Diceros bicornis minor: one gene and its partners. The protein of the gene in region 1 interacts with the protein of each later gene in a pairwise test. Links are inferred from orthologs where the notes say so. Each region holds a gene or a part of one and is shown in the gene's direction. Other genes may lie near its edges.

Region 1 (7,312 bases):
CCTTTGGTACCGCCCCGCCCACAGGCAATATTCAGTCTCTTCACATTTCCCCACCAGCACACTGTGATGCCTTCCCAGACTCTCCCCCAACCAACACGCCCAGCTACACGGTGATCTAAGGACCACCAGCCTAATTTCTCTCAAGCCCAGGACACCCCCAACCCCTGGGTCTCCTAGGGCTGCCTCACCAGATGCCAGTTTGGGGAGGTATTTTTCTTTCTGGGCCTTCGTGCCAAAGAGCAGGATGCCTTTGAAACCGATGCTCTGATGGGCGCCCAGAGTGATGCCCACGCCAAGGTCGTGCATGCCCACGATCTCCACCAAGCGGGCGTACTGGAGGGGAAGTGGGCATCTGAGGCCGTAACTGGCTGCGTGGGTACCTGCCCTTAGAAAAGTGTGAGCAACAGGGCAGGGCCTGACCTGTGCATCCCCACAAAGTGAGTGGAGAGAGGAAATGGGACCATGGCAGAAAAGGACACTCGAGTCTGTCCCAGGGCTTAGTGGGAAGGCTTCCTACCCTATTGTCAGGCAGTCCCCACCTTAGAGATTCATTAGAACTTGGGAACCTGGGTGAGGTCCATGTCCCTAGGAGACTGCATGTAGTTTAGTGTTATGTTTGGAATGGGTGTGTACACATGAGGAGAGTCACCATCCCACAGGCCTCCAGGGCAGTTGCTTGGCAGAGACCTTAGCCCCAGGGATGAGAAAGGAGCTGAATCTGCCAAGCCTGAGTAGACCTGGACACTGGGAAGTGACTGAGGGGGCTTCCTCACCTGGGTGTTGCAGAGGCCCACACCGCCCAGCTCACTGGGCACCTGTAGACCAAATGCCCCCAGCTCTTTGAGGCCCTGCATAGTGGTCTCCTCCACCCGCTCCAGCATGTCATTCTTGGCAGGATCATTCACATCCTAGGAAGGCACAGGATTCCACGTGGATCCAGGCTCCTTTTAAGCTCCTTAATCTCTCCCCCACCCCATCAGGGACCAAACTCTCTAGTCCCCAGCCCCAGTCATTCCTCACCTCGAAGAAACGGGACACAGGTCCCACCAGCTCTTTGAGAAACTGTGTCTGCTCCTCGTTGAGCACTGCGGGGGTTGGTGAATGAGTGGGTGGGGAAAACAGGTCAAGCGAGACTGTCAGGGGAAACCGCGTGTTGGACCCAGCTCTGACTACACCTTGCCTTACCAGAGGGGTATGGAAACACCTGGTCTGTGGTGAGCTGACCCTTGAACATCCCCACAGCAAAGGACTTAGATTCCTGCGCAGGGAGAAGGGGGGTTTCAGGGACCTGTCAGGTGGGTCCGCCCCTCCTTAGCTCCTCCCGGCCTCAGGGTCACATACCGCCTTGGCCCGTTTTCCCCTGGTCAAAGCCTCAGAGGAGAGGGACTCTGCCTTGTCCAGAGCAGCCTGGGGAAAGCGGCAGTTAGTGAGGTCAGGGAAGAGGCTTCGGAAGTGCCAAGGAGAGCCCAAGGGAAGAGCTGGGAGCCGGGGAGGGCGGATCCGGCCACCTTTCCCCTAGTTTCATCCCGGGGCACCCTGGCCTGCCCTTTCCCCTACTTTCGGCGCCAGGCCGGTCGGCAGGTGACTGGGACAAACAGGGAGATCCCTGCCGGCGCCGGGGACTTAGGAGCCGGGGCGGACTCCCCCTCCCACGCCCCACTCCCAAGGCCACCGTTACTTACCTGAGCGGCCCCACTGGCATAGTGTCGCCGGGCAGGGCCGGGCCGGGGCTGCCCCAGGAGCGCGCTGGGCCGCGAGCTGTGGGGAGTGGGGGCTCAGTTCTGGGCGGGTCCCCAGGCCTGCTGCCCCCCCGTCCCTCCTGTCATACACACACTTTCCGCCCCCCAACCTCAGCAGCTGCCGCCCCACGCTGGGGGCCATCCTCGCCGCCTGCATCTCCGAACCGCTCCGGTCGCCGCTGCCTTGAGCGCTGACCTAGAGCTCTCGCCCGGTCCGCCAGTGTGGGTTCCCCCACCCCTGACTCATCCTCCACAATGCACCGGGAGGCGGGCGGGCGGGGCTTCCGGTCGCCGGGGCATGCTGGGAGCTGTAGTTCCGCAGCGCTCCTTGCCACCCAGCGCCTGCATTCTGGTTGACCTAAGATGATCTCCATACGTCCCTTGTCTCCCCCAAACTCCTTCGTCCTGCCTGTCGGAACTAGAGTGCAGCCCTCAGAAGGGGTGATGAGATAGGCTGGGACTGAAGAGGGAGAAGCTTAGGCGACTGCAGCCAGAGGGATGGAGGGTAGACTGAAGGGAGGACTTCCCAGGTAGAGTTAGAAGGGAGAGGTGGGAAGAGAGCCGTGTAAGATAGATGCCAGAGGTAGAGGCATGGAAAGACGACTCTTTGGGGTCTTTCTTGAAATCTGTCTCCACCAATACAAAAGGAAGAGAACTGGTGGAGTGGGGGACTCAAGTTGGGATGTGAGTGTCCTAAGCATATTCTCCCAAGACCTAGGAGGTGTCACTAACTCTGGAAACACCTAAATTTTCACAGTGTTCACAGTAGGAACAACCCCCGGGGTTCACTGCTTCCCCCTTAGGGCCTCTGAGGCCTTCTTGAACATCTATCTTTCTCTGCCCTCTGTTCCTTCCTGAGACCACGCACTCAGGCAAGACCTCTGAGCACATGGATTCTTCCCAGGCCTGAGAGGAACTGTAGGAATTCTCATGTCCCTCCCTCTCCCACTGGGTCAAGAAGTCCTAGGCAATTTATACCCTTCTTTCTGCCATTCCTACTGGGGACAGGCACAGGAGGGGAGAGAGCTGGGCTAAGCTTCCTTTCTTTTTGTGCAGCAGGAGCCTCCTTGGTAGTGACCTCTTCCCTAGTCCCTCAGGAAAGTATAGCTAAGTCATGTCTGGCTTTGGGGAGAGGGGCCAGGGTGTGTGGAGCAAGGTGGTGGTGGTGGTGGTGTCTGGGGACCCGGGGAAGAATGGGACAGCGGGTGGGTTCAGAGACTGCCTCCTTTACCTAACAGCTGGAATTGGGTGAGGAGATGTCAGCTCAGCTTCAATCCTGGAGGATTAGCGAGATTAAAGTGAGAGAAGAGAGAGATGTCCGAGAGACCAAGAGGTGAAAAACAAGAGTCCTTGCGGAGGAGAGGCCTAGGGGTGGAGTGGGCGTCTGGGACTCTTTCTCCCCGAATCTTTCCATAGAGTCTGGGGTGAAAGGGCAAAGGCTGGGGAAAGATGAGGTGAGTGAGTATGCTGATCTGTTTGTCTCTTCCTTGTCCCAATCCTCCCTCACTTGCATTTCACCAGCTCCCAGGTCAGCCCTCTGGCTCCTGGCCCCCCCACTATTGCGATGGGCACCCCCTCTCCTCACGGTGCTGCACAGTGACCTCTTCCAGGCCTTGTTGGGTGAGTAGCACCAATTTTCTGAGGGGCAGTGGTGGAAAGGGCTGGCCTGATCCTGCGAGGGCAATTATCCATCTCAGGGGCTGGTTGAGAGCCTGGAGATCATTTGGTTCAAGCAGGAGCCCCCGCAGGGGTCATCCTGACAGTGTCCTCCATCAGCGTCCACCAGGCTCGGCTGGAGGAGCTCCTCCCTGACCAGACAGAAGGAGGCCAATGATGGCAGGGATGGCCAGGGAGGCAGGGGCAGGGGAGGGTAACTCAGTTCTGTTCCTGTGACAGACATCCTGGACTATTATGAGGCTTCCATCTCAGAGAGTCAGGTAAGGGGGTGGGGTGGGGGGACTGACTTCCTGAGGGAGGAGGCAGGGCTGGAGCAAAGTACTGAGGGAGGCACTGCTAATATTTAACTGAGACTTGGGGGCCCTGGGGATGAAATTCTGAGTGAGGGGCATGGAGAATGCACTTTCTCCTGTCCTGCAGCCTCTTCTCCCTCTTGCTTCCCCCCTTTCTTTGCCTGCCCCAATTTCAGGCACTAAGAGTCCAGGACGTAATTACTTTTCAGGCTTCCTCCTGTGAATCCCGAGGGAGAACTAGGCCCCCAGGGATTCCCTCCTGCCAGCCCCTCCCTCACCCCCTGCCCCCTATCACGGGCTGTCTCCAGTATTTAAACAACCGTGGGTGCTCCCAGCCCGACTCTGGGTGCTTCCTCTGAGAAATGAAACCCATCCTCATCGTCTCTGCTGTATCGCTGGTGGCTGGCCAGGTCTCCATGTTTGCCTCAGGGCCTCTCCTCTCCTGCTTCCATCTCCTCTCCCATTATCCGGGTTCCTGCCAGCACTGAAGGAGTTAACTCTGCCAAGGCACCCCCCCCATTCTCGCTCCTCGCTCGCTCCCTCCCTCCCCCTGCTTCCTCTCTCCTCCTCTCTCCCCTTCCCTCCTCGGCTCCACGGCTCCCTCGGCCGCTGCCGCCTCCGACCCCCCCACCCCACTCCCCCGCCACGGCCCCTAGCCCCTGGCCGTTAGGCAAGACCCCCCCCTACCCCGGGGCTCCCCAGAATCCAGTTCCCCTCCCCCACCTCAGCTCATGCCCCAGCCCCCGAACTCCGGGGCTGCCAGCCCCCGGTGCCCCCGCCCCTCCTGAGAATCGGGGTGTGCTCCCCGAGCCCCCTCCCCTCCATTGGGGACCCCCTTTTAGGGCCCCCTTCCCCTCCCTCCCACGCTTCCCTACCTTTTCCTTCTCCAACCCCCTCTTTCCCCTCTCACCCCTCCCCCCATCCTGGCTCCCCCTGCAAAAGTGGGGTGCGGAGGGGGGAGGGGTGAGAACCGACGGAGGGGAGGAAGGAAACTCCGATGAAGTCAGAGCCCCTTACCCGCCGCCGCGGCCAGGCCCCCCAACATGGACTGTCTCTGTATAGTGACAACCAAGGTAAGCGTGATGGGGGGTCTGTAAACTGGGGGGAGGGTATGAGTTTGTGGGGAGGGGTTAGGCAGGCCTAATCTGGGGCCAGGGGGCCTGGAGTGAGAGCATCAGAAGATGTATCTCAGGGTCATAATTTACTTTTGGGGTGCACATCTGAGAAAACGCTTGGTTTGGCCACAGGTGCCCCCGGAGTGATCCCTTTGTACCTGTAGAGAAATGGAAAATTTGGTGTATTCCATGGTTTGGGGGGTCTTGTGGGTTTTGGGGTTCACCAATGATGTTTGAGGGAGACTTATTTAAGGAGAAGCCTAGCTCACATGGGAGTTCTGCTCTTGTGTATGTTAGGTGGACTACGTGGTGGGGGGGTCCTTTTTCCCCCTGGGGGACAAGCTGGCTTCCAGGTGCCTTGTCTAATTTCAGGGGGCTCCTGGCTTGGGGGTAGAAGGTTATTGGTTGGGAGTGCCTGACTGGTCTGGGGGTGTCAGCTGGCAGGGAAAGGGTGGGCCTTCAGGCTATGGAACAAGCGTCTCATGGTAGATACATTTGAGGGTCTGCTCAATTTGAAGGAACTGTTAATTTAGGGTTCGATCATATGGAATGGGGATAGTTGGGAGTTGTCAGAGGGCTGGGGTCTGGCATAGGATCACCTGAGGGAATGGACCAGGTGAGGTTAGGATTTGGGGGTACTCCCATGGGACGTAGAAGGTTGCGGCAGCTGAGGTTGCCAGCTCCTGAGGAGGACGATGGGAGGTTTTGAGAGAGAGGGGATTTAAGGAGGGGAACCAGGTAGGTGGTACAAAATTTGGAGGTGGCCCAGGCAGGTTCCCAATGTCCCCATCCCCTCCTACACTGTATCTACCCCTGGTTGAGAAAGAGGGAGAAGAGCAGATGGAGGGGACTGTTCCTGTTACTACCCCTGACACTTAGGATCAAGGTTGGGGGGACACCTGGATTTAAGGTTACTGGGGTGAAAAGGAGTAGGAGGAGGGCAGGGCTGGCAGCAGTAAGGATCTGTACAAAGGTGGCCTTGTGGTTGGGGCCTGGAAAGGGCAGGAGATCTTGGATGGGGAGCGCAAGCAAGCTCCTGGTGGGATGCAGAATACCTAGGTCTTGGCCGGGAGACTCTGGAACTGGAAAGCTGGATGCCTGGTGTATGGAGGGAGGCTTGGGCGGGTGGCAGGCAGCTGGGGGTTGGGGGGTGGGACAGGAAGTGGGGGCCGGGGAGGCGGGGTCCGGGTGAGTCACTGGCTGGGGAGGGGGTTATATTTAGTGGGAACTGCAGCTTCTCAGGGGAGGGAGCTGAGGACACACATGTTCTGTGCCACAAACTCACACATGTGTGTACACATGCGCTGTACACATGTGAGCATGGATGGAAGAGACTGGGGGCTGAGGACCTTTAGGTTCGGAGCCCCCACCCCCTCTCCAGGGCTACTTGCTTGTACCCTGTTTTGTGGGCTTTGGGCTTTCTCCCACACTGCTTCTTTCCCTCACCCCCTGTAGTTTCAGTGGATTTTGGTGCCTCAGTTTCTCTGGCCTGGTCTCCTTTAATGTCTATCTGATCCTCTGCTCCACCTGTCTCCTGCCCTTAGCCTGCCCCTTAACCTTAGGCTCCCTGGCTGTGGTCTCCTGTGTACAGGTGTACACAGAGAGCCAGTTGGAATGTGTAGGCTCTGCTTCCAACACGTGAACATAACGCCAGTGAGGGTGAGGGGCTTGCCTGCACTGGCAGCTATTCTGGGAGGGTGGCTTATTCATTTCCCTTCCAGACTCCTACTTCTTCGATGGAGCCCAGGGTTGAGCCTCTCCGAAGGAAAGAGCCTTGTGCAGAGAGGATCATGCATTTGGGGTTTTACAGAGGCATGGAGACCCAGGCTTACCATATTACTTGGCCGGAAAACTTGGCAGTCTTGGGATGGCGGGGACTCCAACTCCCATAAGACCTTGAGGCACAAGATCCCTCAGTGTTAGAGGGCTGCTGCCGGTGGGGCTGTTGGGAGTTGTGGTTCATCTCTATCCAGGGCAGCGAAGGGTAGCCCAGGAGGAGCCAGCAGGGGGCACATGGCACTTTTTCCCCCAAAATGCTGTGTGGGGAAGGGGGTGCCCAGGCTTTGCGGTCGTTGAGCTTCCCAGCTCCGTCTGAGTCCTCCATTTTTCATTGCCTATATTTAGACTCCTGCCGCAGTGATTTAAGGAACATTTATTGAATGCCACTATGTGCCAGGCCCTGTGCTTTGTGCTAACTCTGCCTTTATAGCTATCACTTAGTCTTACTCCGTGCCTATATCTCTGCCTGTCTCTCTGTCTCTGAGCATCTTTCTCCCACTCCGCCCCCGTCCCTCCCCCTTCTCCCCGCGCTGCTGCCGCCGTTGCCATGGTAACCGGCGACGACTGAAGTTGCGTGGCGAACTTGAGGGCCGGGCGCGGGTGGCGGAGGGCGGAGCAGAACAAGTGGGGGAGGGGAGAAAGTGGGGAAAGACCGGGGGTATTTGGCCAGAGCCCCGGAGGCGAAGCGGTTAAACCCCCCGGGTGGTCC
Region 2 (7,494 bases), on another chromosome or scaffold:
GTAAAACAAAAGAAAAAACTTCCCATAAAGAAAACACCAGTTCCAGATGGTTTTACAGATGTGTTTCAACAAGCTTACGAATATCAGATCTTTCCAATCATACAAACTTTTTCAGAGAAAGAAAAAGAAATGACACTCGCCCAACTCATTTTACGAAGCTAGAATAACTTAGATACCAAGTCCTAGACAACAAAGATAGGAAAATATTAGGCTCATTTTATTTATTAATATAGAGCAAAAATCCAAAACAAAATATTAGCAGGTCAAATCCAATGATATATGTAAAATAAGTCATAAAGCTCCTCGAGAAAGTTGGGTTTATCTCAGGCAAGTAAAATTTAATATTAGGAAAATCTCTAAATGTAAATGATCACATTAACAGATTAAAGGAAAAAAACCATATGATCATGTGAAATGATGCAGAAAACCCTTGATAAAATTCAACATACTTTTGATTAAAACTCTTAGGAAATTAGAAATAAAATGGAACTTCCCTTACCTGAGCAAGAGAGGTCTCTAAAAATCCTGCAATAAATATCATCCTTAAGAAAAAATGTCAGAGCACTAAAGTTATAAACAAGACAAACATACCCACCATCACCACTTCTATCTAACGTTGTACTCTAGGACCTGGCTAGTACAATAAGACAAGGAAGATAAGCCAAAAGCAACAGGATTATTTTATTTCCCTAAATATATTAAACATATTTATTTTACGTTCTGTGTCTCATAAGTCCAGTAGTTGAGTTCTTTGCAGAGGCATTTCAGCCGTTTGCTGTTTTTGCTGGTTCTTGTTCTTGGTGTCATGTTTTCTTGTGTGTTTAGTGATATTTGACTGTGTGCTGTTCATTTTATTTGGAACTTTATCTGTGGAAATTATTTGAGGCCCGAGATAAAGGTGAGTTCCTCTAACAAAGATTTACATTTGCTTCTGCCAGGCACCTGGGGTACTACCAGTCTGGGACCATTTTATACTAAATTCTTTGTTTGAGGTTTTTCAGATCACCTAGGTAGAGTGAATTTGATTGCATATGGTGTGAGGTCTAAGTTGTAGTTATGGATTCTCAGGAGATGATTCTTTCTCCCTACACTCATTGCTATTGCCAAGGCTTAAAACAGGTAGTTTTCCTGGCAATTTCCTGCTTGTGGGAATGGGGTTAGTTTTTTCTAGTTCACTTGTACATTAGAGCAGAGCCCTTTGGGGTTCTAAGTTTACGCAGGGGAGTATTTGCCAAACTTGGGTAGACCTTGCAGTTTATCTTCTTTTCCACATGCCCTGAGAGGTCATGAAAACTGAAGTTCAATTTTATCTGTTAGCAGATATCTCTGTATCAGTGATTTATTGCCACAATATTGTGGCATAACACACCATTCCAAAACTCAGTGGCTTAAATTAATAAGCATTTATTATTGCTTAAGAGTCCTCAAATTAGCTCAATAGTTCTTCTCATTCAGTTGGTCTCACTGAAGTATCGGCAGCTAGCCGCGGTCAGGTAGATATCTATGTTGCTCTTGGCCGGGCTCTCTCACATGTTTGGGTGTCTGCTGTTCTATGATGGTCTTGGCTGGAATAGCATGGCTCTCTTGCACCCTGTCTCTCGTCCTCCAGCAGGCTATTCCAGGCTTGTTCTCACAATGGAGGCAGGAGACCCAGAGAAAGAGTAGAAGTATGCAAACCTCTTAAAACTTAGGCTTAGAACTGACACATCATGACTTCTTCCACATTCTATTGGCCAAAGCAAGTTACAAGTCCACCCAGATTCAAGGAAAATAGAGTCCATCTCTTGATGCAGGGAGTTGCAAAGTCACAGGGCAAAGGACATGGATTCAGGGAGAGGTGGAGAGTTGGTATCGTTTTTGCAACCAATGTAGCATAGCCCCCAAGGCTAAAGTTGGCTTCAGTGCCTTGCTTACTTCTCTGGTTCTGCCTTCTCTTACATCTTGGCTGCAGTGATTCTTATTTTCTTGCCAGCTCATTGATGCATTTAAGATTTTATAAAATATTTTATTTATTATTTTTTATCATTTATCACTTTTTCTATCATTTATCACTTTTTCAGCAGAGGATCAACCAAGCACCTAGTCTGCCACACTGCTTGATTGACATTTTGATGAGTTTCTGTCTTTGTACATGTGTGGCTCTCTACCTGTAATTCTCTCTCCCGATCTTTGAGATTCTACTCAAATGCCTCCTTGATGCTTCTTTACTTCTTTGACTGCCCCTCTTCATCTAAGCAGAGCTGGCTGTTGCCTTTAGACTCTAGAAGTATTTTGTGCCTATTTCTGTTAAGGCATGGAATTCCTAATAGAACAACCATAATTTGTGGAGTGCAGAGCCCCTTGTTCAAAAATTATTAAGACTCTCAAGATGGTGACAGCACAGCATTAAACCAAGAGTGGGGCCCTTTTGAGTGTGGGGCTTTGTGTGACTGTACAGCTCACACTCCCATGAAGCTGACCCTGATAGTAATTGTTGGTTTACATCTCCGTCTCCCTTATATATACTGGATGGATGTGAGAGAACACTGTCTAAGCTAAGCCTATCTGATTAATCTTTAATCAAGAGGCTAGCAAGGTGCCAGGTACAATCAATAAATGGTTGTTGAATGAACAAATGAAAACTACACTATGTTCTCAATTCTAAAACACATCATCTCTTTGATAGCAGCTTTAAGAAAAAGTAGAAAACCATATTAAACGTCCCTATCCATTGTAAAATGCTTTCCAATTTCAGTTAACACAAAATGTACATCTTAGAACTGGGAAAACATGGTGGTGCCTTTTAGCATCCTACATGATGGCTGTTCTTACGCTTCATGGAAAGTGAAATGCCTCTTCCAGTTCCAAAGCAGGTTCCTAGGACCAACTTTCAATCTTATTTTCTCTGATATCTGCTCTTGGCTGATCCCTGGGCTGGGAACGGTCTGCAACCTTGGCTCATGATTGACAAGTCTAGACTGAATCGGTCTTACAGGCAGCAGGATAGGTGACCAGCCTGCCAGTCTGCCACCAGACTTCTAGGTTTCCTGGGGAAAGGGTTCTCCAACCCCCTTTATGTCATCTATGTACTGTGGCATCTTGAAACATCTCCCTGGGGAAAGAGGAAAGGGCTTGGCTCCCAGTTCTAACCATTTTGGGCCTGTGACTTCTCTTTCTGTGCCTCGGTTTCCTCTTTACACAAGGAGGAGAGCCAGTGGCCCCAAAGGAGTATAGGAAGAAGGGAATTGTTGGGTGGGCGTTTAATCAGAACTACTGCAAGGTCCGTTCCTAGAGAGGTGGACAGTCGGTCTCCCAAGCCGCCTGAACCCACACCTCACTACCTCAAAGCTTTCAAGATCAGAAAATGTGGAGCAGGAAAGAGGGGAAGAGCGCTTTGAGGATGCGTACTACTCTCCATCCCAACTTTCAGCGCCTGAGGCAGTGTTCCCTCACACCCACCCTGGGAAATCAGAATCCAGACCAGCCCCTCCCCTACATCTTCAGCCCCTCCCGCTGCGGCTTCCCCAGTGCGGCCCCCTCCCCCCCATTACAGCATCGTTCTGGGCGCCAAGACGGATTCAAGCCAAGGGACTGCTGCAGTCAGCTCTCCTCCGCCTCTCCTGGCTCCTGCAGCCTGTGTCCTGGCTCTGCAGCCTCTGGCTGGGCTTCGGACAGTCCCCTTTCCCTCTCCCCCCCTCCCCGCCCCCGCCATGGCACAACCCCTGGCTCAGGGCCTAGAGGTGGGCGGGCACAGTGGGCATGGGTGGGGGCCCCAGCAAAGTCGGCAGGTATAGCGGGGTTCTCCCTCCACACTGGGGATGCCTCGGCTGTGCGGACTGTGGGTGGGGAACGCCGGTCGGTGGCTCTGAGGCAGGACACAGCGCCCCACCTCGGCCGGGGCTGGGGCAGAGGAACGGGGCTCCTTGAACCGAGGGCAGGAGCTGAAGTCGGGTAGCTGACCCGCAAAACCCAAAGGAGAGTCTCCTTAGGGGATGTGCCTGGGGGGCCGTGCGTGACATTCAGGATGTGACTGTGTCTCGGTGGGGCGCGAGACCGTGTCTGTGAGACTGTGTGACTGTCTCCCCAACCGCCTGCCTCTGGGCTCGGGTCCCTGTGCCTAGGTCGGCTGTGCGTGGCCGTGACACTGTGTGTCTGTTCTTGGGTCCCCGGCTGACACTGACCCAGTGGTCCCGGGGAGGGGGAGCTTATTCCCACCCCCGGGGTGGGCCTCCCCAGCGCTGTCGCTCAACGAGGCGGGCGCTCCTCCGAGACCCCGGCGGCCGCCCGCCGGCTGCGACCTCGGCCCTCCCGGGTCCGGTGCGGGGGCGGGGAGCTCGGTCTCCCCCTCCCTCTCGCGGGCTCCGGGCTCGGCGGCCCTGCGCGGGGGCGGGGGCGGGGGCGGGGGCGGAGCGCGCGGGCGGGATCCCCCCGCCTCCCCTTCCTGGTCCCCGGGAAATCCAGCCTCCGTGGCTTGGCCGCCTCCCGCTCCCGCGCCCGCTGCCGCTCGGCGCTCGCTCGGGGCTCCGCAGCCGGCGCGGCCCCTCCGCCGGGGGCTCCGCAGTGCCGGGCCCCGTCCCTGCCCGCCCGCCCGCCGCCGCAGCGCCCCCAGCCCGGGCCGCCGGCACCATGTAACCCGGCCGGAGCCCGAGCCGGGCCAGGTAAGCCGCGGGGAGGGGTGGGGACGGGGCCGCGCTCGCCGCGCCCTCTGCAGCGCCCCCCAGCCTCGGCCTGGCTGCGGCCCCGGCGCCGCCCACGCCCCGGGCTCCGGCGGCCTCGGCTCCCGGCCCCGGGAGGGGGGAGGCTGGGCCTCCTTCGCCGCCCCCGCCCCCGCCCCGGCCTGACGGCCCGCGGGCCTGACCCCAGGGACCGGCGAGGGGACCACGCGGAGCGAGGACCGGCTCTCCGGCCAGAGCCGCCGGGGCCGGCCAGCCCTGGCCCGGCTCTGGCCCGGCTGGAGGCTTGGATCTGGGAGGGAGTAGCCAGCTGGGTTGTGGGGGGAAGTGGTGGTGTTGGGGAGATCCGGAGAGAAGTTTCCTCTGCAGGTGTGTAAGTGTGAGTGCGTGTCACTGTGTGTCTGTGATGAGAGTGTGTCACCATGTAGGTCTGTGGGTGGTTGTGTGTGCCAGTGAGTGTGTGCAGTGACTCGGTGCGTGTCACTGGGTGTATGCAGTGTGTGTGGAGGGTGTTACTGTGTATGTGTCTGTGGACATGTGTGTGAATGAGTGTGTGTGTTGTCACCGTGTGTGCCTGTGTATGTCTCTGTGAGTGTGTATGTGAAGGGATGTGTGTGTGTGCTGGTGTGACTGTGTCTCTGTGAGTGGGTTCAGGTATCTGTGGCCTGTGTGTGTGTGTTGGCTGTGTGAGAATGTATCTGAGCAGGGTTCACTCTGAATCACCCACACCTGGGCTTTGTCCCCCCTCCCCCCAGGGATTCCTGGGGGGTGGGGGGCATGGGAGAGGGAGATCAGACTTTTTAGAGGTCAGCTCATCCCCCTCCCCAGGGACTCCTCACCCCTGACTCAGGCAAGAGCCATGCTGCACTCCCCACCTTGGTCCCCACCTTCACCCACCTCAGGGGGTACCCTCTGTGATGCTGCTGGTTGTGTCCTTGCTGCATGCTGGGACCCCTGGTGGTGGTGGGGCCTGGGGTGAGCTGGAGTATGTGTGCTTCTTCTTGGGGCCTGGGAACTTGTGTCATCCCAATAATGTTTCACCAAAGGCCCTTTAGAGCCTGGAGCTGAGGAGGCCAGGTGGAAGCTTCTGCCCAGTTCTTAGTCATCAGAGCAGGTGGTTGTCTCCCAGACTTCCAAGCCCTCAATTTCCAAGTTCTGGGTCATTGGTTCAGCCCACTGGCTCTAGGAGGGTCTGTGCTAAAGCTCTTTGAAGTAATAATAATGATAATAATATGCCCTTTTATCAGTTTAGGGCTTTTGAAAAATGCTCCCCTCTCAACTCTTTCTTCTTATCTCCGCAAAGGCCCCAGGAAACAGGCAAGCTAGGTTAAGCCATATGAAATTGCCAATATTCAACTTTTTGTTTTTTACCTACAAAAATAGCAATTTCGTGTAGTTCATCTTAATATAATGCCAATTTACAGATGAGGATGTTGAGGCTCGAGAGGTGAATTGCATTTCCCATAATCCCACACTGCTAGTCAGTGGTACAGAAAGACTCCAACCCAGGTCTTTTGGTGACCCGCAGAGCTGGGCTGGGCCGAGGTTAGAGAGGGATACCCCCTGGTGTCCTCTCTCTGACCCTGGGGGCACTGATCTCCACCTCCACCTAGCATTCCCTGAGTGCTGGGGCTACTTTTGCACCCAGCTGCCAAGGCCTAAAAGGGAGAGAGGGGGAGAAGAGAGGAGGGAGGGGAGGGAGAGGCTTCGTGAGTTGGCAGTGAATCAGGGTCTAAAAAGGGAGCGGGAGGGCTAGGGTGGCAGGTGTTTCTAAAAGGAACATGAACATAGGATGAACAGCATCAGATACAACCCCCGCATCCCCCACCCCCAGTGCCCCACTGATCTGGCAGGCAGTGCCCACTGCATTCTATGCCAGGGGGCTCACTTCCAAGGAGTGAGCTTGTGTGTAGCTGTAGAATGATGGCCAGGGGAGGAAACTTAGAATTGACTTGATCCAAACTCTTAATTGTCAAGTGAGGACACTGAAGTCCAGAGAAGGGAGGGGACTTGCCCAAGGTCACACAGCAAACTTGTGGGTTCCTGGCTAGTCTTAGCCAAGGAACTTTCCAACCCTCCATGTTGCTTTCCATTCCTGCCGCCCCCCCCCCATGCCATCAGAGCTGACCAGAGGGAATCTGGGGAGAAGGATCAAAGACTCAATAAGCCTAAGGCTGTAGATCCTTCAACTTGGGACCCCTTTCCAAAGAGAGGAAGCTACAGACCTTCCTGGGGATGGGGATTCCTAGCCATACCAATCACTGAGGTAGGCCATGGGCTTGTCTTGATTCCTGCTGGTGAGGCACTGAAGCTGCTGCAGGCCAGACTCCCAGACTCTCTTCTGTGACAGTGCCTGCTTTCAGCTGCTGCCTGGCACCTCACATCATCTCCCTCCAGCTGATGTTGGGCTTGAGCTGGCTGAGCTCCATTTTCCTTCATCCTACCCGGTTTCTGATGCATTTTCCCTCTAGCTGGCCTGACAGTTCTTTACTCTGTGGGTTCCTGTTGGGTAGAGAAACTTCTGGGGCTTGTCTGATTTTGGAAGAGTCTGTAGTTACCCTTAAACCCTTTCTAATTAAACATTCCAGGAGCCTAGGGTAAATGATAAAGATAATTGTCCCCATTTTACAGATGGGAAGGCTGAAATTCAGAGAAAAGCCTACTATTTGGTTGGTTTTTCTCTTAATCTGCTAAGATCAGTTGAAGAGGTTCTTGGAGCGAGGGGATGAAGGGAGCAAATGACAACAGCAGCTTTTGTGTAGAGGGGCTTCTACAGACCACTTCCAGTATCTTACCATCGCTGTGGTCAGGAGACCTTTCCAGGGTCTGATTTCATTCCCAC
Region 3 (6,891 bases), on another chromosome or scaffold:
TTTCCCAGCTCTCAGACACCCCCAAGGGAGAACGTTCTTCCAAGCTCCTATCTGCTCTCAACAGCCACAAGGACCGGTAAGTTGGAAGGAGGCTCAGAAAGAGATGGAGATATGGATATGGAAGCCTGGGAAGGGAGAGGCCACAACTTACCTGGAAGATCATCTCTGAAAAGGACTGAATAATGGCATCAGAGGGGCGCTTTTCTACAGCACTGACCCTATGTCATTTCTCTCCTCACCCCAGTTTCATTTCAGGGAGGGAGATTAAGAAGAGGAAATGCTTGTTTGGTCTCCATGCTCGGATCCCTCCCCCTGTGGAGCCCCCTACTGGAGATGGAGCCCCCACCAGGTCACTGGTCCAGGGGGGATGGGGAAATTCTCAGGGTATTAATCTGGGGGTATATGTATGGAGATGGGGAGGTCTTTGGGGTGTCCGGGAGGGGGCTGGGGGGATAAGGAGGCCTCTTACAGCTTCCCTTCAGGGCAGGGCCCTGGGGGAGGGGTCTCACGTCCCCTGGGGAAGCGCCGGAGGCCGGAGCCAGAGCCCCTGAGGAGGAGGCAGAAGGGGAAAATGGAGGAGCTGGGGCCACCCTCAGCAGTGCGCAATCAGCCCAAGCCCCAGGAGCAGAGGGAGCGGGCTCGTCTGCAGAGGGCACTGCAGGTACAGGGGCAGAGGGAATGCCATGGGGCAAATGGCGGTGTGGGAAGGAATCAAGGATTATCTCTCAGTCTTGTGCTCCTTCTTCCAGGCCTCAGTGTCTCCACCACCCCCCAGCCCTAACCAGAGTTACCAGGGCAGCAGCGGCTACAACTTCCGGCCCACAGATGCCCGCTGTCTGCCCAGGTCAGTGCTCCTCCACCCTCCAACCAGATATGCTCCCTTGGAACCTCTCCTCCAATTGTCTACATCCTCTGGACTTTCTCACCCAAAATTCTTTTCTCTCTCCCCCTTGGCTACTCACTTCTTGTCCTAGAGAGACTTCTAGAACCAATGTCCGATCCCCAGTATTCAGGGGATGGGGGTTCCTTGGGGGTAGTTTTTGAGCTCTGCCCTTCTCAGGGGGAGAGGGTGCTGTTCCCAGGTCCTGACTTTCCCCCTCCCCAACCCCAGCAGTCCCATCCGGATGTTCGCTTCCTTCCACCCCTCTGCCAGCACCGCAGGGACCTCTGGGGATGGTGAACCCCCAGACAGGTGAGATTCTACCCCTTTACCTGTGACACCCCTCTTTGCCTGTGTTCTTAAGTTCCTCAGTTCCTATCCATTTCTTCATTCCTCTGATCCACATGTGGCCTCCATTTCTGGTCAGTCTTCATCTGCATCAGGACTCACAATTGCCCTCTCTCCCTAGGTCACCCCTGGAACTTCACATTGGTTTCCCCACAGACATCCCTAAAAGTGCCCCCCATTCGATGACTGCCTCATCTTCCTCAGTCCCAGCCCCCTCCCCAAGTCTTCCTAGACGCTCAGCACCCCCTTCTCCCTTGTGCCGTAGTTTGTCTCCTGGGACTGGAGGAGGAGTCCGAGGTGGGGTTGGCTACCTCTCCCGAGGGGACCCCGTCCGGGTCCTTGCTCGGAGAGTACGGCCGGATGGCTCTGTGCAGTACCTGGTTGAGTGGGGAGGTGGGGGCATCTTCTGAACAGCCTGCCTCTGTCCACCTCCCTATTCACACACACCGGCACTTTCATACCCTGACCTCTGACCTCACCTACAGCTGGGATGTACCTGGGGAGGTAGGGGGTAGTTCTCTCTACTGCCCAGGCTGGAATCCAGGTGGGGGGTTGGGGAAGAGGCTCTCTCTTCTCTACTCCCTTCATGATTCCTGACCCTTCTCCCATCCCTCTTCCCATTTCCTTTGATGTTATTTTGTTACAGCTTTTTAAATATTTTTTAAAATTATTTAACCCCTGGGGACGGAGACTGAGGAGGGGGGGATGATAAAGGATCCCAGACTCTGTATGATTGAAATAAAGATAAATAAACAAATCTGGTATCCCCGAGTCATTCTGAAAGATGGGAGTAGAAGCACTTCTAATCTTCCCAACCAAATTCACATATATGACAAGGAAAAAGGTAAAAGTGGCAAGAACCAAAGACAGGATTTATTAGGGACCCAGTCATCACCTGAAAGTCAGAGGGCATTGAAGTATATGAGGGAAACATGGCAGGAACAGGGCTCGTCAGGGTAGAACTGTGCTGGAGTCAGAAACTGCCTCCGTAACCTGGTGCACCCAATGCAGGTATGGGGAGTTCCCCTGCTCCACAGGCAATGCAATCACCTCGGCCACTTCGTAAGGGTGCAGAGAACTGCAAAAAAGACAGGGAGGATCGCTCAAAGATTTACCCAAAGGAGCCCACCCCCTCAGACTGCCCAGCAAGTCCCACCCCACAGTATACACCCTCACCCCTACCCATCTCACAGTTCTCACCGAACAAAATCTGTCAAAGCCGGAACCAAGGAACTTCGGGTTTTAATCATCTAAGGGGCAAAGGCAGACATGGTTGAATCAGGGGGAAGGGTTGATTGATTTCAGGATCTCAAATGAGGGATGGGGTTAAAGGGGTCAGGGAATTGAGGTTTTGTTGGGTAGGGGAATGTTTCTCACCATCAGCACCTCACTGTCCTCTTCAATCTTTCCTTTCCACTCATAGCTGAAAAGGTCAGGGAGAGAGTGTTGTGGGAGCAAAGATTTCGCTCAAGGAAAAAGACTGCCAGTCAGCCCCTGGAGTTAGGTTAACCCCCCAACTCCTATGACTCACATGGATGTAATCTGAGGGATGAGGTTGACACAGGCTGCCAGGCGCTTCTCCACCACAGCCCTGAAGGTGAAGAGACAGCCCCGAAGGTGAAGAGACAGCCCCATTCAGAGCGCCCATGACCCAGATTTGTGCACTGGCAGCCCCAGAGACAGGCTTCCAAAGCCGGAGCAGGCAGAGGGGGCACGCTTCTCCCCCACCCCCAACTCTCCCTTCATGACCATCCTTCCCTGCTTCACACTGATGTCCCCACCTGGCGATCTCTTTGGCAACCTTCTCGTTGGGGCAGGTGACAAAGGCTGCAGAGACGGAGCCGGGAACATAGCCAGAGCCCGAGGCCTGCGAGGGCTGGGTCGGGGGGCTTCCTGAAGCCATGGACAGCAGGGCTCGGGGTAGCAACACAAGGCGGGAGGCCACAGGCAGCAGCGCTGGCATCCAAAGAAGCGACAGGAGCAGAGCGGCCTGAGAGCAGGAGGTGAATTCAGTGTCTCCCCGCAAATACCCCAGGAAATTGCATCCCAGGAACCCTTGGCTTGATATACACTCAGGCTCTGCCCTCCCTCTTCTGCACCCGGAAGGAAAAGGTCCCTGACACTGGGAGAGAAACTTGGAAAATTTATGGCATATACTTGGTTTTCACTCCCTCCTAAAGGGCCAACCTCCGGGATTTAGGGTGCGGGTGGTGACCGCGGCTTGAAGGACCGGAAGGGGCGGGGCCAGTCACTCACCCCTCCGCCGAGCAGGATGGCGGGACCCCGCCCCCCCCTCATGCAGTCTATGCTGGTAGAGGTGCGTTGAATATCAAACGCCACACGTAACGCCGAGAAAGGACCCCAAAGCCAGGAAGAGCTGCCCCTTCTTACCTGGGCGGCAGCCACGTGATAAGAAAACAGCGCACACCACGTGACAGTAGAAACCGGACCACCCGACCCTCCAGAGCCAGCCAATCCTGGCCCTCACGTGGCCCAACTTGCCCCGCCTCCTGGTGAGGGAGGAGCGAAGGGGGATCTGACCAATCGACAGCCGGATCTGCAGACGTGCACGGAAATGGCACGCTCGCTTCCGTGTAAACCGGAAACAGCCCATTGCGGGCTGAGGAGAGCCGCTGCGGCGTTCCACTGTCACGTGAGGGGACCGGGCCCCTCAGGCGGCGGTACCTCAATGAGCGACACGAAAAGGCCAATCACAGGCCAGCCCCGCAGGCCACGTGATGAGAGAGCTGGCGCTAGGAAAGGGGGGGCTAAAGATCCCGCAGACTCCATGCGTCAGGTTGTGGAGTGGGAAATCATCCTTAAACCCCAGAATGTGCCCACTGACAGCCCCTACACTGTTCCCGAGGCCTTAAGGAGTGGGAGGGTCTGAGAAGATTGAACCTCGGGGGCGAAGAGAGCGCCCCCTGCCATTTTGGTTAGGACTGACAGATGCCTGGTTTGGGAATGAACAATGATAATCTGAGGAGAAGCCAGCTGTCCCTGGGTAGAGGGAAGTGATTAGGCAGGCACGGGCTTGGCAAGACAATGCCTAGGTGAGGAAAGATGCATTTTCAAAGGACAGAGTGAGACCCTGTCAATGGGATAGAGGGGCTGAGGGCGCCTCAGCCTTCTTAACTGAAACCCCAAAACTAGAGACAGACTGGTGAATTGGCGAGATGGGGAGAGATGAGGGCTGCAGGTTAGAGATACCGAGAAGACACCAGGAAGTAGTGATGGTCCTTCTTTCCCTTATCCCCTAACTATTAGACTCTCCAGGACTGGTCTACCGCCTCAGCCTTGGGTCTCCTTCCATCAACCCGTCCCCCTAGGAGCCAGGACCTGCCCTACATAACCTCCCTGGGGCCCAAGCACATCCTGTGACCCAAAAATGGAGAGAGGGGCCAATGAGAGGAGAGATAGGTAGGAGGAGGCGACAGAGAAAAAAGCTCTTGCCACTCCCCCTACCCAGTATCCCCGCTCCCTCCAAGGTCTGGGGTCTCTGGTCTGCTGGGTGGGTGTGACTGGGCGTTTCCCAGGCTGATGTCAGAGTTCTCTTATACCTACCTCTCTGGGGTTAGGATCTCCCTGAGATTTCTGTCTTTGGGATTGGAGTTTGTCTCTGAGATGGAGCTCTATGGGGTGTTTCAGAATTTGCATTGGGATCTTTCTCGGGACTGAGTTTCCTTTTTGTTTGGGGGGTTTCTGTGTTTCTGGGTCTGCAATCACTCTCTCTGAGGTCTTTCAAACTCTTCTTTATGTGTTTGGGGTCTCTGAGTTCTCCATCTCTGGGCTAGCTGAGTGTCTCTTCTCTCTCTCTCTCTCCCTTCTCGCCCTCCCCCCCCCCCAGGTCTGGATTGTCTCTGTCTCTGAGTCTGCAATTTCTTTCTTCTGAGATCTAAGTCTGGGGTCTCTGATACCTCTCTCTGGGTCAGAGTTCTCTAAGACCTAATTCTAGGTCTAGGTTCTTCTGAATCTGGGTCTCATCTTTTTTCTCTGAGTCTCCATCTCAGGTCTTGGTCCCTGAAAATCACCACGTGAGCCTGGAGTCTAAGATTTCTGTGGCTATGGAGAACCTTTTTGAGACTGGATGCTCAGATTTTTGATCTTTGACCCCTCAGGGGGGAGTCTGGGGTCTTTTTTTCTGAGATTGGGGTCTCTCTTCCTCTAGATTTTGGGTTTGTGCCTCAGATTAACTCCCAGGGGTGGCAAGGTATCTTCCTCTGTGGGTCTGGGGTCTCTCGATCTCAGGGTCTGGGGTCTGCATCTTTAGAACTGCTCTCTTTCTCTCTGGTGTGTTTTTGAGTCAGGGGTCTCTCTCTCTCTCTCTCTCTCTGGTTCCCACTGAGTAGGGGTGGGGGCTGCCGAGTCTCTCTCTCCTCCTCCTCCTGCTCTCTCCTCTCGCTCGCTCCCCCGCCCCCCTCTCTCTCTCTCCCGGCTGCCGCTGCTGCCGTTGGCTCCTATTCTCCTCCTCCTCCTCCTCTCTCCTCCTCTCTGCTCCTCTCCGCTCCTCTCTCCTCCTCTCTCCTCCTCCTCCTCCTCCACCTCCTCCTCCTTCTCCCCCTCTCTCTCCCCCTCTTTCTCTCTTCTTTCTCCCCCGTCCCCCCGCCCCCTCCCCCCTAGGCCTGATGAGCAGGTCTCGCGCCTCCATCCATCGGGGGAGCATCCCCGCGATGTCCTATGCCCCCTTCAGAGGTACGGTGGTTGAGGGGAGGGGGAGGGCTGGGGGGGGGCTGGAGGGGGAGGGGCAGGGGTGGGGGGTGCAGAGCTGGGGCCAGGGAGGGGAGCAGCTGAAATGTAGGGAGAAAGGAGGACCGGGAAGGCAGGGATGGGAGCAACGGGGAAGGAGGGGTTGGAGGCTAGAGGATAGGGGTAGATAGGGGCTGGAGGGGCCAGGAAACAGGCTTTTAAGGGGACTGGGGGGAAAATGATGAAGGGGAAAGATTGCCAGAAAGGGTGGGAAGATAGAAGGATAGGGTTGGGGGAAGAGCTGCAGAAATAATTTGGAGGTGGGAGCTGAGAGATGAGGAAAATATCAAGGAAATAGAAGGACAGAGTCTTAGGATAGGGGCTAGGAGGGGGAAATGAAAACACAGGGGTGAAAAGAGAAGCCAAGAAGATGGGGGACAGATTATGGTGGGGGGGCTCAGAGAATGGTAGGGAGTAGAAAAAGAGAGGAGGATGGAGGGAGAGAAGGGGCCAGATGGAGAGAGAGGGTGGCAGGGGGGGGGAGGAAAGAAGGGTCCAGATGGAGGGAAGAGAGGAAAGAGGGAATGGGTTGGGGGAGGAGAGACCAGGGCAGTGGGGGGGACCAAATTATGTGTGTGTTTGTTGCCGGGGGAGGGGGGCAATACAAGTAAGATTGAGTGATGGGAGTAGGGGCCAGGTCAGGACCCTGCCCCAGGCTCTGATCCTCATTAAGGCCAGTGAAATGTAACCCCTGGAGTCTTATCCGCTCCCTTCACTTCCCCACTTTTACTCCCCTCCCCCACCTCCAATCCTTATTTCCATTCCCCCTCCCTCCTCTGGTGTCCATCACCTATATCTTTCCCCCCATATGGTGTCCGTTCCTTATATGAGTCCCCCTTCTGTCCTTCCCCTATATCAGCCTCTTCTCTGGTGCCCATTCTCTCTCTCTCTCTCTCTTCTATCTGGCAGTTCCCTTA
Region 4 (7,019 bases), on another chromosome or scaffold:
TGGCCAGGTTGGGGAGGTTGTTCATTGTTTGAGGAGCCTTGAGTCGAATTCTTCTGAACAGCCCTGGTTGGTTTGTTTTTTGAATCAACGAGGATTTTGACTTTTCAGGCTTGCCGAATGAGGCCTTCGTTTGCTCCACGTGTGTTTTGAAAAGACCCTCCCATCTGCTACACAAAAGATGGACCGAGGGAGGCTGCAGGGCGCCCAGGGCGCAGCCTGGTGCAGCAGTCTGAACGAGAAATCGAGAATCGAGAAAGCGCCCGGACAGGGGGATGACTCTGGGGATAAAGAGAAGGGGATTTGAGAGATGTTTAGGAGGTTTGACAAAGTGGGACATGGTCTTGGGTTTTATGTACGAGGGGGCGAGGGAGAAGGAGGACAGGGCATAGGATCCTCCTGGCTTCTTGGTTGCCGGAGAGGGTGAGCTGGTTCCAGGTACGAGGTTAGATAGAGCTGCAGGAGCACAAGGCCTCCGGGGAAGGTCACGCACTGGGCCCTGGACACGCAGAGTGTGAGGGTCCACAGGGCAGAGCTGCGGGCAGGAATTTGGCTATGGGGACTGGGATCTCCGAGGGACAGGCTGGGCTGGAGAGAGGAATGTCTGTGTCAGGGAAGGAGGGGAAAGCCAGAGCTTGTGACAATTAGTCAATAACTGTGTATTTAGCATTGAAAATATTTGTCGAGTAGAGTATTCTCTGAGCACCTCCACGTGCCAGGTGCGATGCTGGGCACTGGGGATCTGGCAATAAACTGAATGGACAAAACTCTGCCTCGTGGGGCCGACGTGTTTGTGGGAGGGACAGGCGATAATCAGGATAAATTACTCATTTACGTATCCTATTATATAGTGATACGTGCCAGCGAGAACAATGAAACAGGGAGAGAGAGGCACCGGGAATGCGAGGTAGAGTGTGGGGAGTAATGATATCAGCAGACATGGAGGTTGTGCTCACTGAATTCATTTAAGCCTCACACAAGCCTGATGAGGAAGGTGCTGTAATTACTCCCATTTTAGCAATGAGCAACTGAGTCACAGAGAAGTTAAGAAACTGGCCCAAGGTCACTCAGCTATGTAAATGGCAGAGCCTGGATTTTTAGCTCGAGCCCACGCTCTTCAGTTAAGAGTCTTAATTAACCAGAATGCTGAACTGCCTGTCATTGCCAAGGTCAGGTCTCAGCAAAGATCTGAAGGAGGTGAAGGGGTAAGGCTCACGGACATCTGGGCGACAAGAGAGGACATGAATAATCCAGACAAGAGATGACGATGGCTCATTCCACAGTGGTGGTGGCAGTGCAGGTGCAGCACCGGCTTCTGGATGTGTGTGAAGGTGGGTCCTGGAGGAGCTGCGTTGGCTTGGATGTGGAGCGTGAGGGAGAGAGAGGCGTCAAGGATGACTCCAGGGCTTGGGCCTGCGCAGCTGCAGGGAGAGGGTTCTGTCCACCAAGATGGGGCAGCTGTGGGAGGAACCACTTCATAAAGTACTTTCCACGTCCATTATCTCTTAACCCCCTGGCTACTCTCTGAGGTAGGCGCTGAGGCTCTCGGAGGTTTTGTGACCTGCCCAGGATCATGAGGCCGGAACGTGGCAGAGCCAGGACCAGAAGCCAAGTGTGCATCATAGGGTTTGGAGTTTTGATTCATTCATTCAATCAGCAAACACTTCTGGAGCACCTGCTATGTGCCAGGTGGTGTGCTAAGTGTTGAAAATGATGACCACTGACAATGGCCCTGCCCTCGTGGAGCTCTCAGTCTGTTGGAGGAGGCAGTGTCAACTGATGATCAATGAAATGATTTCCTCACATCAGCATGATAAGTGGTAGAGGGGAAAACAAAAGGAGCCCTAGGAGCCAGTAACCAGGACCTGACCTAGCTGGGAGGTCAGGGAGGGCTTCCTGGAGGAGGTGAATGTGAAGTGCAAAGACCTCTGGGATAGAAGATCTGTGGGAGCATGGGGGGCTTCTTGGGAAAAAACTCCCTGGTTTCCCGGCCATAGTGGAGGAACCCCGAGGGGATCACAGGCTCCCAGAGGACGGCTGCCCATTTGGAAATTGCAGAATCTCTTTTTTTAGTGTGCGATTGTTGATTGTTGGAACAGCTTTATTGAGATAGAATTCACATACCATACAATTCACCCATTTAAAGTGTACAATTCAGTGGTTTTTAGTATATTCACAGAGTTGTGCATCCATCACCATGGCCCATTTTAGAACATTTTCATTATCCCAAAAAGAAACCACGAATCCCTTAGCTGTCACCCCTGCCCAATCCCCCAATGGCAACTGCTAATCTGCTTTCTGTCCCTGCACAGTTACCTGTTCTGGACATTTCGTATAAGTGAAATCATACGCTCTGTGATCTTTTGTGACTGGCCTTTTCACTTAACATGATGTTCTCGAGGTTCATCCACGTTGGAAATCCCAGAATCTTAAACACGATCAGAGCTGGCAGGGACCTGAGAGACTGTCCTGTGTGCTTCTCCCACCTGTTGTAAAGGGGGGACTCGGGGAGGAGACTTCCTCTGGTTCCTCAGCAAGGAAGTGGAGGGGCTCCAAGGTGGGTCATGGGACCCTCAGATCAGGGCCCCTGCCCCACTGCCCTGCACAGGACGCCTCCCTCTGCTGTCGCCTCTTTTCCTTCAGCTTTGGGCTCTGGCTGATTTTGGTTAAAAGTGACAATGTGGTCGGAAACGCATCCTCTCAAGCACTGGATTTTCATGCACTGGCAATTTGCACACCCCATGGTGCATCTTGAAATCTTTTATGCATCTTTAAGAATTTGTGTCCACTAATTCAGAATTTTTTGGAGTTTGGTATTTTCTTTTCTTGCTACTTAAATACTTTTCGTCCAGATGGTTATGCCTGTTTTTCTCAGTTGGTGATTTTCCCACTGGGGGAGACAGGGTGGCATTGGGGTTAAGTGCTGGGTCTCAGAGTCGAATGCCCTGCCTCCTGCTCGGTGTGCACCCGTGGGTAATTACTGAAGCTCTCTGAGCCTTGGTTTCTCCCTTTGAAAAATAGCAACAGCATCATAGGGCTGTGTTGAGGAGGAAATGAGGGCATGCCTGTTGCGGGCCTGGCAAGGGGTAGGTGCGGATCCTGGGAGCTCAGAGGTTGTGAGGGCTTTCCAGGGTGACCAGGAGAGAAAGGGGAACCTCCCCACCGTAGACTGCCCCGTTCTCCATATTCCTGCTTTGAATTGACCCTGTACCTCCCCTCCCAGGCCTGAGAGGTGGAAACGCTGAGCTCAGATCCCAGCCCAGCCACTTGGATTCTGGGCCCCCAGGTCAGCTCGGTTTCCTGTGTCTTAGTTTCTCTACCTGTAGAATGAGAGGGCAGAAAGCAGGGGTTTCCACCGAGGCCTCCAAGGCAACAAGAGGCTCCTGGGGGGGGGTGGAATGGAGGGGCTTTTTCTTCTCCCAGGAGGGCCTGGTTCCTGCTGATGTAAAGATCCAAGCAGGAACCGTGGCACCTGTTCGGGAGAGGTGGGTAGAGAGAGCCACCTGGCTCACAGTAGCTCTCGGAGGAGGCACTCATTCTCATTTGACAAGTGGGGAAACTGAGGCTGAGAATGGGGCAGCTGTCTGCCCAGTGCCTCTTAGTGAGTGAGGGGCTGAGTTGGGATTTGAACTCAGGACTGTGGATTCCAGCCCCTTTCCCAGCTGCTGCCATCCAGGGAAAAGGAGAGAGAAGCAAGATGGGGAGGATCGGAGCCTTTGGAACCCCAGCTTCCCACTGCTGTGGGCATTCTGTGGGTGGTGGGAAAGGCATCGTAAATATGCATGAGATGCAAATACGCCTCTGAAAAATAAGGTGGGGGCCTGCATGATCTGGGATGCCAGAGGGCTTTGGAAAATGTAGTGTTGTCCAGACACTTGGGTTTCTATGATGACTGTTACATGGTGTCCCCCTCCCCAGTGTCTGCAGGGCCAGTCCAGGGGTCTCAGGGTGGAGGGATTATCCTGGTTGCCTCCTAATTAATGTTCTCCCCCATTCCTGCAGGCACCTCTGCCAGGTGCCTGGTAGCCCTGTGTGTGACCAGAACCTGGTCACTCTGGGCGCTGAAAGGCCCCTGTCCCACGCTGCTTCCCACCAGCACCTCTGATCAAGTGCCCAGAGGGATGTGTGTGCCAGCCCTCGGTCCAGCGCCTGCTCCTGAGGTGATGCCTGCTGGTTCCCAACTGGTTCCTGTTTTCCCTCTGCACGTGGCTCCCTGGTTGGTAAGTAACTGCGTCCTCAGGCCTGGGCACACGGAATCAGGGCTGCTCACCCGCCCACCCCTGCTTGGCACAGTTGGGAAATGCCCAGCGTTCTCACCCAGCGGCGCCCACATGCTGGCAAAGGGACCTCAGTGAGAGCTTTTATATGTCTGGGCTCAATTTATAGTTTAACTGTGTGTCTCATCCAGTCCTCCCAACAACTCGGGAGATGGGCATGGTGATTACGTCCGCTTTACAGAGGAAAACACCCTCAGAGAGGGGAAGCCACTTGCCTGAGGATGCACAGCAAGCCCAGCTCTGTCCACCTCAAAGGCCAGCTCTTGCCACACCCAAGGGGCTGGGCAGTTGGTGACATGGGTCCAGGAAGGGAAGGGTAGCAGTGAGCTGTACTGGAAGCCATGGAACCTCTGGGGCCCCCAAGGGGGCTGAAGTGAGACCATCAGAGTTCCTGAATCTTGAGGAGCCCCATTATTTCTGCCCCTCCAGCCTGTTCCACCCACACTCCTCCAGTCCCGACCTTGCCTAACCCCAACATGGGATGAGGTGCAGGGCCCAGCCAGCATCTCTGACCATCCATCTGAGGATGCCGCAGCCTGCCGCCACCCACGCCACCCACTCCTGGTCCTGTCCTCCTTCCCACAACAGCGTGCCCTGGCCACAGCACCTGACACTCACCACGTTCCTGCGTCTCATCCTCCCGCCATCTCCCAAGGCTGTGCAGGCATGACTAGTCCAGTTCAGATGAGGAAACTGATGCTCAAAAGAGCTCAAGGGGCTTCCCCAGGGTCACCCAGCTGCCACTCAGCACTACATGGGACTGTTGGTTTACGATCTGCCTCCTCATCTGGCCTCAGCTCCCTAAGGGTGAGAAATAACTGCTTAATTCCCCACCGGACAGCCAGCAGCTGGCACGGTGCCTGGCATATCATGGGTACAGTAAATGGTTGTGGAAGGAAGGAAAGAGGGAGAGAAGGGAAGGCTCTCTCACCTCCCTCCACCCAGACACCAGCAGGACCCAAGAGACCCCTGGCCTTGTGGCCAGCTGCTGGTCCCTGCTGGCCCCAGAGAGCTTGAGGTCAGCTCGGGCCTTCAGCAAGGCAGCCAGCCCCTCTGGTCTCGACTCTCTCATCTGCCAACAGCTGCCCAGCCTCCCTGATGGGATGGTTATAAGAAGGGAAAAGACTCGTAAATATGTATAATATGCAAATGTCATAGGATAATAAAAAACCTGTGAAGTTTGCTGTAGATAATGTATATAGAAGTGCTTCTTCGAGAATGAGTAGCTGCTTGCTCGTGCGGTGCCAGCCTTGTTATCAATAACCGTGAAAAAGGCCCTGTTAATTAGCTGACACCCAGCCCAGCTCCCCCGATCTGGCCCCTGGCCTGTTGTAGCGACCGCAGACAGCTGTTGCATTTGGCTGAGAAGCTGTCACAGGAAAAGAAGTGATAAGGACATCTCATCTGAGAGCTGTGAGCGTCTGAGGGGTTTAGTCATTCACAAACACTCCTGGGCGTGCCCTGCACCCTGCATTTCCCCCGCAGGGACTACGTAACAGGAGCAACCTGACTGCCAGCAAGCATTTCTTGAGCAATTACTACGCGCCTGGCCTTGCACTCAGTGCTTCATTTTCTTCATCATCTCAGTTAAACTACTGACCACCCTGTGGGAGGTTGGTGGGGAGACTGAGGCATGGACCCGCCGGACCTGGGCGAGAGGGCTCATCTGTCAGCATTCTAGTCCTTCCTGAAAGTTACTGCCATTCAGTGTCCGCCTCTGCCCTCCAGGCCAGGCACCGCCGGAGGGGCCGGATTGTGGCCACTGAGAGCGCAGTGTAGCCGGCAGCGCCTGGTGTGTGTGGCCCAGTGACGGAGAACGGGATTCCTTGGCACGAGCTGGGAGAGCAGCCGTCAGCATTGCGTGGAAAGATGGAGGCCGGGGCGGCAGCGAGGGAGGTGTTACTGCTGCTATTTTGCTAACAAGCTGGTTATTTAAAGAACAGCCGAAGAAGCCGAAGTCGGGAAATCGGATGGGAAGTCTCCACGCCCAGGGCAGAGGCAGCCAGGGGTCTGGGAGCCTGGCTGGGTGGGGGCGGAGTGCCACACATTCTTGTTTTCAATTTGATTATTATTAATAGTAATAGTAACAGCACCATGCAAGTTTGGAAAAGGATTACCTTTGTGGAGAAAAGAGGATGTAGGATTGGGAGGGGGCAAGAGGGGTGTCTGAGGGGCAAGCGGTCTTCTCTTCCTTGACCCAGGTGGTGGTTAGATAACTTTTTGTTTTGTGATCATTTATTTCAGTAAACATTTTTGTTTTGTGCACTTTTTTCTGTGTATTATATTTCATAGTAAAAAGGCTAAAAAGCAATTATAACAATAATAATTAATATTTATTGAGCACTTACTAAATGCCAGGCTCTTTGCTAAGCATTTTACCATGTCTCATTGAATCTGCACAGATTCTGTTGTTCTACCCATTTTACAGAGGAGGAAAGTGAGGCTCAGAAAGGGAAAGTTACTTGCCATGCAGTCAAAGAGAGCTCAGGTGGAGGAGATGGGATGAGAAACTGGACAGGCTGACTCAGGCCAGCATCACTGCCCCGTGTTTGAGGATTGGGGGCCAGGAAGTTCCCCCAAAAGGGCGGGGGTTTCCTCCATCTGTTCCTCAGACATGTGTCAGTGCCTCTTGCATTTTTAACACTTAGGAGGCCAAGCAGGTGTCTGTGGCCATGGGCAGGGGATGAGGCATCTGGAACTCTGACAAGGGGTCAGAGCAGAGCGTTTAGCTAACAAGTATTGAAT

Evidence for each region.
Region 2: the proteins of DLG4 (region 1) and DLGAP3 interact in a two-hybrid assay, tested with the Homo sapiens proteins (2 studies listed by BioGRID and IntAct). The link is inferred for Diceros bicornis minor from reciprocal best matches to the Homo sapiens genes DLG4 and DLGAP3.
Region 3: the proteins of DLG4 (region 1) and SYNGAP1 interact in a two-hybrid assay, tested with the Homo sapiens proteins (2 studies listed by BioGRID and IntAct). The link is inferred for Diceros bicornis minor from reciprocal best matches to the Homo sapiens genes DLG4 and SYNGAP1.
Region 4: the proteins of DLG4 (region 1) and DLGAP4 interact in a two-hybrid assay, tested with the Homo sapiens proteins (2 studies listed by BioGRID and IntAct). The link is inferred for Diceros bicornis minor from reciprocal best matches to the Homo sapiens genes DLG4 and DLGAP4.

Annotation. Positions count from the first base shown.
Region 1 is NC_080757.1:11,065,068-11,072,379, forward strand, and holds the start of DLG4 (disks large homolog 4), read left to right. Parts: upstream 1-4,308; 5' UTR 4,309-4,752; coding exon 4,753-4,782; intron 4,783-7,312. Other genes in the region: ACADVL (very long-chain specific acyl-CoA dehydrogenase, mitochondrial), read right to left, coding at 189-333, 774-908, 1,021-1,085, 1,186-1,258, 1,342-1,407, 1,683-1,758, 1,850-1,896. UniProt on the Homo sapiens protein: Postsynaptic scaffolding protein that plays a critical role in synaptogenesis and synaptic plasticity by providing a platform for the postsynaptic clustering of crucial synaptic proteins.
Region 2 is NC_080752.1:49,327,631-49,335,124, reverse strand, and holds the start of DLGAP3 (disks large-associated protein 3), read left to right. Parts: upstream 1-4,491; 5' UTR 4,492-4,637; intron 4,638-7,494. UniProt on the Homo sapiens protein: May play a role in the molecular organization of synapses and neuronal cell signaling. Could be an adapter protein linking ion channel to the subsynaptic cytoskeleton. May induce enrichment of PSD-95/SAP90 at the plasma membrane.
Region 3 is NC_080753.1:31,071,810-31,078,700, reverse strand, and holds the start of SYNGAP1 (ras/Rap GTPase-activating protein SynGAP), read left to right. Parts: upstream 1-3,883; 5' UTR 3,884-5,853; coding exon 5,854-5,920; intron 5,921-6,891. Other genes in the region: PHF1 (PHD finger protein 1), read left to right, coding at 9-76, 245-349, 472-661, 750-844, 1,112-1,192, 1,350-1,638; protein CutA, read right to left, coding at 2,180-2,306, 2,429-2,478, 2,606-2,651, 2,760-2,819, 3,010-3,218, 3,485-3,526. UniProt on the Homo sapiens protein: Major constituent of the PSD essential for postsynaptic signaling. Inhibitory regulator of the Ras-cAMP pathway.
Region 4 is NC_080758.1:23,522,138-23,529,156, reverse strand, and holds the start of DLGAP4 (disks large-associated protein 4), read left to right. Parts: upstream 1-3,999; 5' UTR 4,000-4,217; intron 4,218-7,019. UniProt on the Homo sapiens protein: May play a role in the molecular organization of synapses and neuronal cell signaling. Could be an adapter protein linking ion channel to the subsynaptic cytoskeleton. May induce enrichment of PSD-95/SAP90 at the plasma membrane.